Linked DNA regions of Schizosaccharomyces pombe. The main gene of each other region encodes a partner of the protein of the gene in region 3 in a complex. Each region holds a gene or a part of one and is shown on either strand. Other genes may lie near its edges.

Region 1 (3,217 bases), on a different chromosome or scaffold from region 3:
TTTTTATATTTACAACATCATTAGTATTTAAAATAAATCTTAGCCTACTTAAAATCCAAGGCGCAAATGATTGTTTATCACAGCATAAATTCTTGCAATTAACGAAAGAGTGTACATTCATCAATCAATCATTTTACTAAATAACAATGCCGATGAAAACAGACTCAATACTGCTTAATTACTCAAATACATTACCAGGATTGCCCAGTTAAAGAGTATGTAGAGAAAGATATTATTCCTACTCAGCGTTGGCACAAAATTCATTGTGTTAAATGCTTTATTTACAAAGCTGTAATTGCTGATAAAAAGTGTCACAAACCGGGATCGAACCGATGACCAACAGATCTTCAGTCTGTCATGCTCCCAACTACACCATTGCGACTAGTTGTTATCCATAGTCATTATAGATCTAAATAAATTGTATTCTTAATAATGGTTTTATAATATATTTTTCAAATGCAGTATTGACAAATACATATCCTTGTCATTCACAGATTATACATTTGTAAATACTTCCTATGTACTTAATCAACCTTATTTAATTTACACAATGCTTTAGAAGTCGCATACAATCTCCATCGATTATATATTTTATAAAACGATTTTCCTTATGTATTTTAAACATGTTTATCATTACATTACTAGAGTAACACAAATATTTTTTCTATTCCAAAAAAGCTTCTGCGGGTATAATTTTAAGCATATGGAATATTGTGAGTTGACAAAAGGAGACGGGATAAATTCAGGTGTAAAAAAACATTTATTCGTAAATCACAAGTCGAATAATAGTAAAACAAAAGGATTTATGTTTTGGCGGAATGGGAATTAAGACTATGTTTTTTAATGAATGGGATGTGTAAATATGCAGTATCTCAATTCACAAACTATTATGAAAGGAGTGGGAGATTTAAAAGGAATTCTGCCATTGATCCTTAGCTGAAGAGAAGGAAAACTTAAACATATTAGTTTAAATCTAACCAGCCTGTTAGATATTGCTTCAATTTTCAAAACAAATGAGTAATGTTTATTCTCTTATTAACATAGAGAAAGGAGACAATGTATCCGGAAAGAAGTTGTACGTAATAATAACTTTTTCCATCGAAGCCTCATTTAACTCGACATATAACGTTTCCTCCCAAATTATTCTTAATTGCATCGTCAATACTCATTATACCATGTTTAGTTTCTACAATTCCAACTTCTGCAGGCTCCAACCCATTCACAAAGCTAACTTTCCTTCCTTTGGCAAATTGCAACAACTCAGAAGGAGTCAAGTTCACCTTTCTACTAGGCTTTGATACTGCACGTATGTAGTGAAGAACCGGTTTTCCCTCAAAGTACTTTAAACCCAACCATAGACGGCGGGTCGCTACATTTTGCCTAGTGGTGATTGTGGGTAAAGCATCGGGTCCATGAATATCTCCGCGTTGAATCGAGCTTAAAAATCCTTGATGATACAAAACAGCACATAACTCGAGCACACTGTTACAGTTAGGAACGCTTGCTAACGACTTGCGAGCGCGAAATGAATTTTGCAAATGCGAAAAAACATAATGCAATTGCATTTCGACTTTTTTAACACAATCCTAATCTTTTATAAGCAGTCCAACAATAAAAGCCTTTTTTTTCTATACAGAATGGTGTTTTGAGGAAAGAAAAGAGGTATGAATGCAGTTTAGCTAGTCACTTCCAAATACCTCTCTCTGTACTGGAAGAATAGTAAGTAGTGAACGGTGTAGCTAGTGTTACACACTATTAGCAAGTTAATGGACATTGCAGTAATCACTGGATAGTAGTATATTAACGACACGATACTAAAGTTCACAATAAATCACTATATAATAAACTAAAAGCACCGGTTTACTATGTTTGGAAAACAAGGCGCAAAATTGCAAAACCAACGGTTATTACGGCAAAAGCCGTCTACCAAATGTTAGAGATTTACTTTGTACAGAATAAAATATGGATCTAAATCGCTGTGTCAATCTGTTAATATTATAGCATTCAAATTACCATGAAACCCACAAAGTTGTCAGAAGTGGGAAGCGAATTTTTGTGCGTTTAGTAGTTCCAAAATCCTCGAAAGGTATTCGCAAATGTAATAATCGAAAAAATTATAATAAGCAGTGTTCAAAAAAACAAGCGGTACAACAGCGAACGCCTGTAAAATATAGGGATGTAAAAAAGCATTTGAATACAATGTAAATTCACAATTGTATAGGATTATAAAAATTTTTTATAAAATAATGGCATAACGAATTCTTTACTGATATTTTAATTACAGAAAAGAAAACGTGAATTGAAAACAAAAGCCTAACAGTATGGAGAACGATTTATAATGCTTCTTTATGTGGCCGATCGTCCAGAAATTACTGATTTACTCAGTATAATATATTGATTTAATTAAGTTTCGCTTCTTAAAAAGGTTGTTAGTTTCGGTAAGCTGTTTAACGAGTATTACACAAAGCACAAGGCATTTTAATTTCATAAAAAAATGTCCGTTTTAATTTGAAAGACGTTCGAAATCAACACTTTTCAAAAATCAGTGCAATTACCGAAATCATTTACTTGAAAGTTGCCAGATTAATATTCTCAAAAGCAGGTTGTAAAAATGTATTATAACTATAAAGAGGATTTCAAGCAAGCAAATATAACAAGAAAAAGAAAACAAGTAGTAATCATTGATTTTGAACCTCCCGGTATTGTTAATATAGAACTAGTAAACAAATAGTAATTCAATGTACTATAATTTTCGTCAATGGTTACAAATAACAATTGGGTTCACTTTTATTGAATCACAACCACGATATAAAGAAAGAAGGGTTAAAACTCAAAAATCCGTCGATTTGGAACCTTTAAAAAAACATAAACCTATACAAAATTATGCGGTAATTTAAGAAAAGCTGTTAAAGATAAGCTTATATTTCTTATGTTCAGAAATTAAATAAGACTTATGTTGCGTTTGCGTGCTCAGAGAAGTATAGAAATAGACCTTAGTATATAGAAAATTCGAATGTATTAAGCATGTAAATAACAAAGTGATAAATAAAATATTTTCTTGATAGTTTTTTGATTTAATATAGTTTATAACTCAAGTAGGTTTTATATACAAGACAACTATGATGAGTCCTAATCTAGGGTTTGGTATATATAAGCTTCCAACCGCCAAAGCGAATTGTCTTCAGCCAACTCGTCCTTTATGATTCAGAGTGAGTAG
Region 2 (3,886 bases), on a different chromosome or scaffold from region 3:
ACGAGTTCCTACAGAGGGCACGTGGCTTATAGGGTATGAAGAAGATGCTGAAGACGAAACTATGGATGGGTGCTTGAAATCCATGATATTTGAGCCATCCACATAACTGGATGGATCAGCGTTTTCAGTGGGATTGGAAATCGCAGTGTTTTCGAGTTGACGATGAATATCCTTGAGCGACGAGTGTTGGGAAGGACACATAGCGAAGCGAATACCAAACAGTCGTTTTGGATATGAGTCAAGGAGAACGAAAGGTATTTATAGGTATTTAAAGAATGAAAAGTTTCCAAGACAAAAAGAGAAAGATTAAAAAAAGAAAAAAGAAAAAACACTCAGTAGTAATGGAGAGAATTCGAATTTCCGAACTTCTTGTTGATGAAACGCTAACCGCAAAAAAAAATTTAACAATACACCGTTTAATAAACGAGAAATTAGAAGAAAAGCGGGATTATTTCAAAAAAGGAGAGGAAGCGAAAACTAAAGGAAAGATAGAATGGGTGGAAATTGTAGTAGGAAAGCAAATAAAATTGGAACCCAAGAAAACGCCTATAGTAGTTGTCTTTGAGCGAAGGAAAGTATAAAACAACAAAAAATTAGGTTTTTCCTCTTTCAAGTTGAATTATTATGAAACCGGGTTGAACAGGAATCTTCAAGGTAAGCGACCCCAAGAACGCACTCGTTCACGAACTAACCAAGTAAACGAGACAAGATGAACAAGCTTGACAGGATAAACAATGAAAGAAGAAAAACTTATAAAAACTAAATATATAAAGGGGAATATAGTAAAAATTGGCCCCCAAGCTGCGTTATAAGGAATTGACAGCAATTATATGATGACGGAGAAGAAAGGAGTAGAAACTGACGCAAGGCAGGATGTAAACGTCAAATCTTCAGGTGTTCCGATATGTAATGAGTCTTAAAACTGCTACTAGCCTAAAACCTAGCACCGTTCATCCACAAAGCGATGTCCAAAGAAACGTTTCAATCCGATGTTCCTATTTTGCTTGAATCCGTCGACACAACACACTGACTTGACAGTAACCGGGAGTACGATGGCAAAAATCAATGTCAGTGGATCCAGCAATTCGTAACAACACCAAAAGAATGGGCAATTCAGAACAAGATCAAAATGCTAACTAAAAGAAGCCTAGGTGTTGGGAAATCTCAAAATACCAATTAACCGAACTCCCCAAACAACGATTCGTACGAAAGCAACAAAAACCCTCTAAGATTCAATCAATAGCTTTCTTGATCACTAGAAATTTTCAAGAACGGATGGAGTTAAATATTCAACAGGGATGCGCAATCTACGCGAGTCTTAAGTTATGTTTTGCTGTCGCTAAGTAGAATTTATGGGAGGGAGGAAAAAGCTAAAAGTAGACGAAGCCGCTTAAGCTAAGGAATGTCTATAGCGATTAACATTACGTTATAAGGATTGCGTGGTGAAAAGAAGGTTGGCAAACTACGCATTACATGAGTAACGTTCGTTTATGGTATCTCGTATACGCATTCTACAATCGCTTACAGTATTCCTGTTTAGCAAACTCGATACAAGCAAAGCATACCTTGAACAACGTGGAGAATGCTCGCTTTGTAGTATTCGTGTTACCGTAATTCGTGCTGTATCTCACTCCGGGGGTAGTGAATATGATCAATTCACACTGCTTATAAAGAGAAATAGAGTCAGCAGGAAGTAGAAAGATAAATGGAAGGAAAAGAACGTAATTTCTATCCCAGAAAACGTTTGAAATGATCTTTTGAAATTATGTTTTGTTTGTAAGTATGAACGAAAAGCAAGGCACAACGCTATTTTATAAACAACGGAGTGCACAATACGATACGTCCATCTGCTTTCCATCCTTGATACCTGCATTGTCTTCGTGTTTACTCAAGTTGCTCTTAACCATACTCCTACCACCAAGTGGGAAAGACGGGATTTGTAGGACTCGTTGAAAACCGGCTCTTCTCAATGGTAGTAAAAATTCGTTTGGCGCGTCATGGCGTCAGAAATAGACCTTTTTACCATATCGTAGTTGCGAATGCATGGTAAGTAGGATGAAAACATACCTAGACGGTTGTTTCGTGTTTTACAACACTTGTAGCGGTTCACGTAAAGGGGAAAGTTTTTGTACAGGATTTAGTAAGGGAGATGGCTTGATGTGGGTTATGAAAGAATGGAAGATAAAATGCTAAAAGACTGCTTTTTTTTGACGGTTCCTTTGGCTCTAAATTGCGATCTTTTTTAGAAGCTTTAGTTTTCAGGTATTCCTGGATGCTCTCATCTATTTAATCTAGTCTTTCTACATAGTATTCAAAATGCCAAGGACACCAACCACAATTTTTCTTATTAATTGACTATTTATTGTGGTTTGGCCCCCTTGGCCTCTATTAACTGTTTACATATCACCTGTACATCCTTTTTTTTCTCCTTCATCCATTCCTGTCTTTTGGTTCGACTTTGTTAACTCAATATAGGAAAGCACCTCAAGCCAAACCTATCGAAACCATCGGCACTTTTGATCCCATCCCTAAGAAGATTGATTCTCAGGACTCCATTCCTCGTATAAAAGATATCCAGCTCAACGTTGAACGTTTTAAATATTGGATAAGTGTAGGAGCACAACCATCCGACACCGTCCGCTCTTTAGCTGAAAAGGTATGCCCAAGCTCTCTTTATCTATTTTTATGACTAGTCCAAATTCGTTAAACTTTCTTTCAACTCTCTTTTTTGACTAAAATTTTCGACCCGCTTGCGATATACCGCTCGGGTGATTTTTCTCATGTTCCCTAACTGCCCGGCTTTCCGAAATGGAGTGTAGGATCTCATCCCTGTTTTCGTTACGATTTGGCTACTAATTTACTTGTTTTACTTCTTTCTATCAATCTATCAATTCTTACTAACGTTACTTTTTTCACTTTTAGTTCCAGTTGCTTCCTAAAAAACCCGTTTCTTGAAACTCACTATAATCGTTATTGCTCAAGTCATGACATTTCTTTTTTACGACCACTTCACAATGTCTAGATATCTTTAACACATTTTTTATTTTTTTTTACACTTTATCTCTGTGATCACGCTAATTACCTCTCTCAACTAAATTTCATAATTTTTGACCGATTTTACCCTTCCGTACTGTTTTTTTAAAACCACGTTTTTTGGCTGAGTGCGATATTTGTTTTCTTTACGATTCTTTTTATTACAATATCACCTTTTTTTTTTTAATTCCTTCTCCACATTATCGTTAGCGTAGTGATATCTTAATTTCTAAATTTTTTAAAGTGTCTATCTATCTGAGGTTATGCGCTAGTTGAAAGCGCTCATAATTTGATGCTATCCATTTGTAATTACTTGTTGCTTTGTACTTAAAATTGTTTGGTAATGAGAAATCTTGGTACCAATATTTTGCCTTTGTAATTTTTAGCTTTTGCGTTTATGGTTAAAATGGATCTTCACTTTATACTGAAACTTCATTTCGTTTACTGATGTTATACCCTTATTTTTTTAGAAACAAATTAACAGCTTCATTTCAAATATTTAGGTTAATATCGGTGTATCTATTATTGCTTAGATTTTTGGACTTTCCGTTCGGAAACGGCAATGCGCTTTGTTGCTTTCCTGATTTCCTCATTCGTTTAATTGGAACTGAACACGTTCATTAATAGCCAATTGCAATAGTTGTACAATTCTAACAAATCATTCCTGTACTTCCGTTGAATTTATAAAAGACTTGTCTCAAAGGATTTAAAATCGTTCAACAATGAATATTAACAACTTAATCGTTTGTAACAAAATATTATAAATGGTGAACTAGCCTTATAAGCTAATTTATTAACTGTACCAGAAGCAATTTACTTTGGTATTATTACCATATTTCATCAACCAGTCCAA
Region 3 (3,733 bases):
AATATTTCGTTCGTACTTTTGTTTTCTCAACGTCGCACCAATTATATGCACCTGATTTTTGCTATTTTACGGTAGTATCAAGCTCTGGGAAGTATGTACTCTCAATTAATGGTTATATTACGATAGTTGAACTTAACTTCACTATTGTTGCTAGTTGCCAGCGCTCGCTATCTGTATTTAGAATTAGAAGGTGAATTGAATTGAGAAATATAATCAATATAACAAAATTACAAGTATACGTTTGGTTTTATTTCTTCAAAGTTATTTTGGTATGAAAAAGTGAGATGCTGACAGATTTCAAGTCAAGAACTCTATATTTTTTAAAACCACTTCAACGAATTTTAGGATCTTGAAAAGTACATCATTTTTACTAATTATAGGAGGGTATTTTCAAAGGATATATTGTATGTAGCATCTAAATAATTTTTATGAAGGTCTCAAAGGGTTGACAACGGTTGTTTTTGGAAATACATTACATTGACCATAAACTGAAACGATGTATTTTACAAAAGGCAATTCAATTTTACAAACTTTCAGCTAAATATAAATTATGCCAGGATTCTCGTTCATTTGACTAGAATGTGTGCTTGTGATATTTGTTCTCGCATTGGTAAGTGCCCCGAAACCTCTTTGTAAGTGGCACCGTACCACAAATTGCATACATACAATCTATTATATCAGATATACAGTTTTATCTTGGGTGGTAGATAATAGATATATAATTTCCAATTCATATTTATATTGTTTTACCGGTTGATTGAAATTTGCCAACCAATTTAATAAAAAGCGTTTGTCAAGATGCCAATAGATACACCGTTGATACCCCATAAACCTATTTCAAGATATCGCTCTGGTAGATTGGAAGGGCTGGAAAGTGAGTCTTCTTCTGAAAGTGATTATGAAGAAGTTTCCGATTCACATGATCAAGAAAACTCGATTTCTTCATCAAGACATGTTATTACTCCAGTATTCGAGAAAGAAGGAATATCTGAAACCAAAACGTCTTCTAATTTCCAAAACATTAACCCAGTCCAAACAATTGATAACTCTGCTTCAGAATATGAGACTGACGCATCATCGGCAGAAGGGGGATCTAACTCTGCAGCATCTAGTTCTGAAGAAGAAGACTCTTCTGATTCGGAATATGAGATGGAGCTGAGAAGGCGGACACTTCTTCTTCCGCCAAAATTTACTAGTAAAGTCATCAAAAATCGGGCAAAAGCCAATGAAGAAGATACTGAGGTGCTTAAAAAAGTGACTTCACAAAAAATATTAGAAGAGACTATAAAACGGGAATTACTATTGAAAGAAACTAAAAACAATAATGAATTATTAAATGATATCGATGATACCGATGGAATTGATCCGCAAAGTGAATATGAATTATGGAAATTAAGGCATTTGCTTAGGAAAAAGAGAGACAAGGAAAAGTCACTGGAATTAGAAAGGGAAAAGATGGCAATTGAAGAAAGAAGATTAATGAATTCTGAGGAACGCGAAGCCCAAGATTTGAAGGACGCTGAAGCAAGTCGGAGAGGAAAGAAAAAGTCATCTATGCAGTTCTTACAAAAGTACTATCATAAGGGTGCATTCTATCAAAACGAAGATATTGTGAGTAAAAGAGATTATTCAGAAGCCACAGAAGGGGAAGTTCTTAATAAAGATTTATTACCCAAACCTATGCAAATTAGGGGAGATCTTTTTGCGAAGGCAGGCCAAACACGCTGGACGCATTTGGCAAATGAAGATACTACAAAAGAAGGATCTGCTTGGTATGATCCTAAAAACCCAATCTTGCAAAAAAATTTGCATCGTCTCGGTGGACTTCATTCTGACAGCCCACTCTCGAAGCGAAAACGTACCTAACATCTGTATATACATAAGGACAATTTTGTATTTCATTTAGCATTAATTTTATTTAACATCACATATATATTTAAATACAACATTCTTCTGAATTAATATCAAATGTGCACCACCCTTCCTCTTTGTAAGTGTTTAGCATAAGCATACCAATTCTTACCTTCCCGCAGTGCAAAGAGTACAACACATTTTTCGCCTTGGTCACCCATGTTACGAAGAGGTGCGCTTTCCACAATATTAAAAGGTTTAAACGGCCTTTCACTGCGTAGTCCCATACCGATTTGGCATGTTTCAGCTTCTCCCGAAGTTGGGTCGAAATATAACCTACCAACGGTTCCTACAACTTCACACGTTTCATATCGTCGTAAGTAAATTAAATACTTCTATTTCTAACTTCATTGCGTAGAAATCGCAAAAGCAAATTTCTTTGCTGGATATCGACCTTTGTCAGCTAATCAAATATGTGTGCCTAAAGTTGAGTCCAAAACACAAGTTTCGCAATCGCAGGATGAGGAAGATCAACCCCAGGAATATGTGTTATCTTTAGAGGATGGCTATTTGTATGCTCAATCATTCTCTGCATCTGGATCCGTAACTCAAACTCAACCCGCTCGTATATCTACTCAAGTATGGGAACAAATATGTGATAAGCTGATTTCTATTACACCTTTAGATTTGACCAGTGTCAAACGAAAAAGAAAATTGAAAATGAATAAACATAAGTTCAAAAAGCGCTTACGCCGACAACGAGCACTTAGGAAACGTCTAGGAAAATGAGATTATTAGAACTTATTTTTACTCGGGTTATATTTTTAGGTTGGTTGGATTGAGAGTTTAAGCTGTAAACAAGCATTTTCAAAATGGCTGCAAGCATTTATGAGTCTCTATTTTTAACTTGGATATCAGTACCTCTCTTTTCTTAAGAAACGTTTAATCATTTAATGTTTACTTCAGGCTTTTTTAACAAGGAATACATTTTCTCTCATGTATATTCTATCCTTTAATGTTCCGGTATGAGACAATTAGGTCGGTGCTTTTTTCTTGCGATAAAATCATTAAACAATCCGCGTTTATTTAACTATTTTCAAAAAGCGGAGCACTTATTTGTTTATGCCGGCTATCTCCTTCATATCAATTAGCTTCCCATGTCTAGTACTATTACAATACCTCCATCTTTGGCCCTTCCTTTTTATATTTTTAAATATTTGTCGATGGCTAGAATTAATGACATGTACACTTCATGTGAATCATAAATATGTTGTTGTATATCAAGCAATTAATAAACGCTTATTACACTGTATCTGTTTACACATAGAATAAAAGAACACATTGGTATGAAAAATAACTTTAGTAGTCGAAATTATTTCCTTAAAACAATTTTGAAAAAAAAAAAAAAAATTTCTACATTTCTTTCTTTAAAAAATGTTCTCACTGATTATAGCTAATTACAATAATGAAATGTAACGTACTGACGACTGACATAACAAATAACAACATAAGGAATATTGAAGAGCGTCCAACTGTATAATTTTTAAGGCTTTTGTTAATCTTGTCTTAACCGATCAAGTTATGCCAACATGCTTTCTAGAGAAGAGCAAAACCGGTGTTTCGTTCCTGTCCGACGAATTTTAGACAATGAAGACTTAAAATTATTTAAAGAAGGAGATGCTTATAAGTTAATTGATTCGTTTATTTGTGATCTTGACGAAGCTGTGAAAGACAAGCCTATTTCAGCTTCAATTCCGCAAAGCTCATCAATAGAGCATGTATTAAATATACTAGATCGAGTTGGAGAAATTAAACAGGAAAATCCTGCAATTGATAATATGGGGTCGAGGTTTGGCAATCCTGCATTTCAATCATTTTACGA
Region 4 (6,468 bases), on a different chromosome or scaffold from region 3:
AAATAGATCACTTAACGATAGTTTTTTTAGAATGATATGATAGTAGGTTTGGCATGTAGCTCAACTGAATGTATTTTTGAATAATTTAAGTTGAAAGGGAAACGTTTTTAAAGCTTTGAAATATGCCGATAACCTTTATGGTAACGTCTCAACTTTTAAATAGAACAAGCGATTTCTCCGAGCAACAAAAAGACGAAAATAAAAGACAGTCTTATTGCTGTACTTGTAGTTCAAAACTGTGTCCTAGTAGAGTGCTATTTCCTTGTTTTTCTACTTCACCTAATATGGTGGTTGATTGCGGGCTCAAATCCCTTGGGGGGCCTCAACACCATCAGACTAACTTCGTTCACATTAGGTCTGAAAGTATACAGGATCCTTGAGTTCTTTATATCATCATACAATAAATATAAAAGCAAAACTGTGTCTTTTCTAGAATACGATTTGTATGCTTTTTCCAGCGTAATTCCGCTTAAATTGGGATTATGAAACAGGTACGTTTTTACGAGTCTTACGGGCCTTAAAGTGATAATTTTATTGTACTTCGATAACTAATTAATATTTTTAATTAAAAAGAAGGAGACCAAAACCAGTCAAATTGCTTTAGTCGATGGTGAAAAATTATCGATAACAGATTCTTTTGCCTCCCTTTTTACTCTAGACGAAGAAGAAGAAAACGACTCTGTAGACAATGAAGAGATTAAGTTAACAAAAGAGAAACATGAAAAGTTACTTCTTTTATTTTGGTTGCATTGCAAGTTTCCTAATGGATTAGAATGGCTTCATTCATCAAGTGATCTTTTACCAGAGCAAGTTTCTGAGTGGTTTAACTTTTATCAAAAGTATCGTTTTAAAAGGTATGTCTCATTGAGTAACTTTTTGTATTTTCCTCAAATGTACAACTAACATGCAAGGGGGCGAAATTTTAATCTTTCAGCTAGAGAATCTGTAACTCCTATCGTTGAAGAACCGATAGTTCCCGAAGAACCCGATAATTTGGAAGGAGTTTCAGAGGAGACACCTTTAAAAGAAACTTCCCTAGAACTTAGCGAGGAGGAAATTATAACGTCAAAATCTCCCATACCTTCACCTGAAACTATACATAAAAATATTGACGTAGAAGAGAAAGAAACTATTGAACCAACAACACCCGTAAAAGAAGTGGAAACCACTGCTCATGCTGAAGAGGAAAAAGGCCCTTTGACGCCAGATAGCGAGTATGCTGCTCGACAGCTTACCGAAGAACTTGCAAACAAATCCTCTCAAGAAGAAGGAGTCGATAAGCAATTAAGAGTGGTTGAAGCTACCGAAAAGGAACATGAGGAAGATGGGAATGAAGAAAATGTGACCGTTACCAAACCGGTAGAGGTTGCGACTGATCAAGTTGAGTCTAAAGAAGTGAAAAAGAAAGAGGTATCAGAGACAACGGAACCTACGGCTCCCCCTGTCACTGTTGCAGAAGTTTTGGAAATTGAAGATAAAGTCCCAAAGGTTGATGAAGTTGAAGAAGTTCATTCTCCTGAAGCCAAGGTCACTGAAAATGATGTTGAGAATGTACAATCAGGTATTGATATTGAAAAAACTATACAATTATTAAATAATCAAGAGATTCCTTCGGAACAACAAATCATTTCCGTTGACAAGGCCACTGAATCTCCTGTTCAGGAAGTAGCGGTTGATGTCAACGAGAAGCCAGTAGATGAAATTGTTGAGCCTAGTAAATTACAAATGGAAAATAAGTTACCATCGGAAAAATCCCCTACAATTGACAGAACTGGGGTTGAAGCTCCGCTTTTTGAACTTTCTGTATCTATGCCACTAACTTTAATTCCTCCTTCAAAATTTTCTGAACCGGTGAAACCAGAGCTTTCCTCAGAAGCATGGCTGCTTCGAACAGAAATGTCGCCTTTACATTTAAGGTTGAAAAATGCACATAAATATGTTCTATCAGATAACTGGTCTCATGCGTATCGCGAGGAAATTGTACGACAATCACTACATCATTTAACGGTTGCAAAAGAAAAAGGTATTTGGTCCTTTAGACAGCCCAAAAGACAAAACGAGATGCCACGATTGAAAACTCATCGGGATTATGTTTTGGATGAGATGCAATGGATGTCAATTGATTTTTCTCAAGAGCGTAAATGGAAAATTATATTGGCTCATAGAATGGCGAATTGGGTAATGGATTACCATCAAGCTAGTGATAAATGTACTGTTTGTACTCCGGCTTCGTTGTCAAAGAATAAGAAGCCGTACATGCAAGAGAATGAACATCAGAAAGACTCTCACGAGGAAACGTTTAATGAACAAATAGTGAGCCATTTTAATCTAAATGATAATAATAACAACAAAGTGCTCTCTATTCCCAGGGATTCTTTACAGTTTTATAATGCTGTTTTTTCGGATGATATATTTGTGACAACAAACTCCGAACAAATTCAGAACTGCGTTTTAAACGTTCCTATGTACGGTCCTCCTACTGAAAACAATGAATATTGTGAAGAAATATCTGAAAAGTACCCGATCACTCCTGTGTCACGTTTTGCATATGCCAAAACAAAGCTTAAATCCACCTGTGCAAAGGCTTCTAGGAAACGTTTGTTCAACCAATTGGAATTATCACCACCTGAGTCGTTTATGGAAAAGAAGGCGAGAAGCGATGAGAACCAGCTAGATGGAAATAAAATTAAGGATGATAATCAGAAGCTATCCTCAGTAGGAACCTTTAGTGTGCGGCCTCCGTATCCGCCTTCTAGTAAAGATATTCGTCCAGAAGCCCCTTGGTTGCCCGAAGAAGATGAACTCCTTTTATTACTCTTGCGACGATATTCCTTTAATTGGGAATTTGTTGCCAGTAGGTTAACACCACCAGGTTTGTACATACCGCTTGCCGAGAAGCGGACTGCGTGGGATTGTTTTGAAAGATGGATTCAAGTGGATCCCAGAGCCGCCAATGTCCAATTGACTGGCTCCCATGCAAGACTCGCTCAGCAGAAATTAGATGAATCCTTAAGACATTCGGATAAAGTTAGCCAACATCTATCCTTACGGGATGAAGGAACACCTAACCATTTGATTAAACATAATTCTTACTTCTTATTGCCAACTGTATCAAGACATTACCGACCCATTACTATATTTGAAGCTATACGAAAGATCCTTAAAAAGAGAGAGTTTGCTAAAAAACCCACTATGACCAAGAGAGCGATTGCACCATCTGCAGCTTCAACTGAAAAATTGCCGCCGGTTCCTTCCCCTCTCGAACTTTCTCGTTTGAAATCTGAGCGTGAGGCACAAATACAGCAAATACAGGCTCAGAGAAACTTTGCACAATTGCAATCACAAAACAGGGCTCTACGGCCGCAAAACGCCGCTGTTGCTGCTGGTGCACAACAACACAACCAGCAACTAGCAGCCTTTCAAGCTGTAGCTGCTTCACAAAATAGTAGTAACAATTCATCAGCGGGTGTCTCGCCTATAGCTGGTAGAATGGTCCCCAGGCTTCAGCCATACGCTGTTTCCAGTTCTTTAAAACTAACACCTGAACAAATTCATCAGTTGCAGCAAAGGAAGCAAACTGTACCTACTACTGAAAGGACACAGTAAGTATCGCCTCAATGCAATTTTTCGATTTATTGTATTTTTTTTGAGTGCTGTTGTATATTAGAAGGAAATTACGAGGCGAGAGCTTTTTCTCTCACACAATAAAAATAGAATACGTTTTCATTTTCGTATCCCGGTTGTTGGTTTTTTAACAGAATCAAGCAAATCGAGGTAATACGAAGTGTACATGATAAGTGAAGTTTGATTTCATAAACGTTATTTTAGCTAATGAATATGTTTTAATTTTTGAAAGACAGACACCATTCTCGGTAGACAAAAACTCCATGTGATGGGCCTTGTAGAAGCGGGCGACAGTGTCATATAACCTCGTCGTGGGACTTTGTTTAGCTTCTTAGCAGTCTTTGCATTCGTCCGAGTGTTCTGTCCATTAACGGGTAACCTGAAATATTCATTAGTTAAGTTGAAAAAGTTGTCGAAGACAGCTACGTTCACAAATGATCTTTTCATACCCGTTTACATGTCTCATTCCCCGATAGCATCGGATATTCACCAATCTTGAGATATCAGCATTCCGTTGACGCCGTAAGTCACCTTCAATAGTCATTCCTGATAGCAGTTGCGACAACGTTGTCAATTGAACATTTGTCAGCTCTCGAACCCTTAACGTATTGTGAAATGATAATTTTGCGCATATTTCTTCAGCCTTGGCATGTCCAATTCCATAAAAAGAAAGTAGAGCAAACCGCACAGGTTTATCGTCGTTTACAGCCACTCCAAGTATGTATACCATGATGCAAAATCTCAGATATCAACAGATGAGACAGAAACCAGCTCAATAATGAAGTGGACAATTTGGTTTTGTAATTCAGTTCTCTATCAGTAATCAGAGAGCTTAAAACCGTTCTGAATATAAGTATTAGGCTTTCTTGTAAAAGAGTGGAGTGGTGGTGTTTAGATATAATACACAGTTGGATCTCTCATATTTTTAGAAAACTAGTTAGATTGTACAGACTCCGGGCCTAGTAATAAAAGACAATTTGAGTAATCATTAAAGAGCTACTATCTAAGGTGTAATTTGATGTTTAAGAAGACCATAAATAGGGCAAGGTAAGACGAAGAAAAACAAATAAAGAAGAGATATCGTCAAAGGCCTTCCTTTTCTGTTCAAATTTTAAAATTTATGAACTCAAATGATCCCTTCGTTCAATGGTCTCAGTTTAAAATTTATTATTGAAAAATATATTCACGACATTACTGTCTCTTACAAAGTTGAATGTTCAACAGTACATGCGGAAGTACAGTAAAAAGTTTTGGAATAAAATTTTATATATTCTAACAATGCTTTGCGGATCTCAACTGTCATATATATTTCAAGTGCAGCTCCTTTACATTGCTATGCTTGTGCAGGTCCTAGGCATTTTAAATGAGCAGTAGCTTTCCGCATTTCAATTGAAACTTCAGTGCTTTCTTCTTATATGGGATATGACTAATTTTATCGCTTAACACAATTGGTAGTGTTCATTTTTATTATTACTTAAGCAATCCGCAAATCATGTGGTTTAATAGTCAGTTTTTAAATTGATGTTTTATTTAACTTTAAAAAACAAAGCAACTGAAAGAAGTATAGTACTGTAGATTTCAGTAATATTGTAACTACTATACGTTTTTTCTTTTTTTTTTTTTTTTTTTTTTTTTTTTTTTACAATATGAAGACTAAGATGAAAATTAAAAATATTATTGCGAATAGGAATACAGATCGTATGGTAAAATAATAGATCGAAAATAGCAATTAATTTAAAAAATTGCTTCACATGGCTTTGTAAAGATGTGTGGGCTAACATACTAGAAAATAAAAAAAATATGAAGATAAAATGAGTTTAGCTCTCAAATTTGGCAGTAATATTGACATCTGTAATAGTGGAATTCTCTGGGACAGTCATGATATAAAACTGAAGAAAGCGATAGTATTCTTCATCCTCTTCCTCATTCTCTTCATCTTCTTCAGTGCGCTTTTTCAAGTTGGGTCTGTCAGGATTAACAAAAGTGTTCCAACTTTGGTAAGCACGAAGGAAATCAGCATAAGTTTTTGCGGGAGCAGCTTCGAATTCGCGCTTTTTCAAGTTGGGTCTGTCAGGATTAACAAAAGTGTTCCAACTATGGTAAGCACGAAGGAAATCAGCATAACTCTTCTCTGGGGCAGCTTCAAACTCACGCTTTTTCAAATTGGGTCTGTCAGGATTAACAAAAGTGTTCCAACTTTGATAAGCACGAAGGAAATCAGCATAAGTTTTTGCGGGAGCAGCTTCGAATTCGCGCTTTTTCAAGTTGGGTCTATCAGGATTAGCAAAAGTGTTCCAACTTTGGTAAACACGAAGGAAATCAGCATATGACTTGCTAACTGAAACCACACCAGGATCGGCAACTGGAATAGGTGAGGCAGCAGCAAGTGAGAATAAAAGGGCAATGACAGCGGTGATCTTCATAATGTATGTGAAAAAAATAAAATTTCGTTGATAAGTTAGAAAAAGAAAGATAGTTTAAGCGATGAACTAGCAAATAAAAGAAGAAAATTATAATTTGTTGACTGATTCAAAAAAAGGGAGAGTTTAAAAAGGCAAAATTCCAAAAGAAAAAGGATTAAAAGATTAGAATAAGAAAGATCGAAGCAAATTTACAGAAAATTAGCTAACGGAGCAGGTTTGTTGACAAGAGGGATGTAAATTCACACCCAACGCGAGTTCTTGTAGAGTGAAGAATAAGAAATAGAAAGAGTGAATATGTAAAATAGAAGACTTGAACGAATTCTGGTTTTCTTCTGGGACAGAATGCCTGTATTTATACATCTTTGTAGTGCTCCGTTTCCCTCAATTCAAATCTGGAATTCTATGCTTTCAAACTGTTCAT

The links.
Region 1: cox24 (region 3) and mrps8 share a complex: the UniProt entries of both Schizosaccharomyces pombe proteins name them as parts of the mitochondrial small ribosomal subunit.
Region 2: cox24 (region 3) and mrps16 share a complex: the UniProt entries of both Schizosaccharomyces pombe proteins name them as parts of the mitochondrial small ribosomal subunit.
Region 4: cox24 (region 3) and sws2 share a complex: the UniProt entries of both Schizosaccharomyces pombe proteins name them as parts of the mitochondrial small ribosomal subunit.

The regions. Positions count from the first base shown.
Region 1 is NC_003421.2:330,919-334,135, forward strand, and holds mrps8 (mitochondrial 37S ribosomal protein uS8m), read right to left. Parts: upstream 1,649-3,217; 5' UTR 1,566-1,648; coding exon 1,107-1,565; 3' UTR 562-1,106; downstream 1-561. UniProt on the Schizosaccharomyces pombe protein: Component of the mitochondrial ribosome (mitoribosome), a dedicated translation machinery responsible for the synthesis of mitochondrial genome-encoded proteins, including at least some of the essential transmembrane subunits of the mitochondrial respiratory chain.
Region 2 is NC_003423.3:553,924-557,809, forward strand, and holds mrps16 (mitochondrial ribosomal protein subunit S16), read left to right. Parts: upstream 1-1,901; 5' UTR 1,902-1,969; coding exon 1,970-2,046; exon of another isoform or gene 2,047-2,475; coding exon 2,476-2,656; intron 2,657-2,922; coding exon 2,923-2,955; 3' UTR 2,956-3,325; downstream 3,326-3,886. Other genes in the region: sre2 (membrane-tethered transcription factor), read right to left, coding at 1-201. UniProt on the Schizosaccharomyces pombe protein: Component of the mitochondrial ribosome (mitoribosome), a dedicated translation machinery responsible for the synthesis of mitochondrial genome-encoded proteins, including at least some of the essential transmembrane subunits of the mitochondrial respiratory chain.
Region 3 is NC_003424.3:4,761,009-4,764,741, forward strand, and holds cox24 (mitochondrial 37S ribosomal protein mS38 ), read left to right. Parts: upstream 1-2,034; 5' UTR 2,035-2,070; coding exon 2,071-2,227; exon of another isoform or gene 2,228-2,269; coding exon 2,270-2,640; 3' UTR 2,641-3,214; downstream 3,215-3,733. Other genes in the region: splicing-associated factor Saf3, read left to right, coding at 799-1,866; ypa2 (serine/threonine-protein phosphatase 2A activator 2), read left to right, coding at 3,441-3,733. UniProt on the Schizosaccharomyces pombe protein: Component of the mitochondrial ribosome (mitoribosome), a dedicated translation machinery responsible for the synthesis of mitochondrial genome-encoded proteins, including at least some of the essential transmembrane subunits of the mitochondrial respiratory chain.
Region 4 is NC_003421.2:980,638-987,105, forward strand, and holds sws2 (mitochondrial 37S ribosomal protein uS13m), read right to left. Parts: upstream 4,518-6,468; 5' UTR 4,355-4,517; coding exon 4,074-4,354; exon of another isoform or gene 4,004-4,073; coding exon 3,829-4,003; 3' UTR 3,607-3,828; coding exon of another isoform or gene 912-3,606; 3' UTR 855-911; coding exon of another isoform or gene 574-854; 3' UTR 509-573; downstream 1-508. Other genes in the region: vid21 (NuA4 histone acetyltransferase complex scaffold subunit Vid21/Eaf1), read left to right, coding at 483-491, 574-854, 912-3,606; P-factor pheromone Map2, read right to left, coding at 5,442-6,047. UniProt on the Schizosaccharomyces pombe protein: Component of the mitochondrial ribosome (mitoribosome), a dedicated translation machinery responsible for the synthesis of mitochondrial genome-encoded proteins, including at least some of the essential transmembrane subunits of the mitochondrial respiratory chain.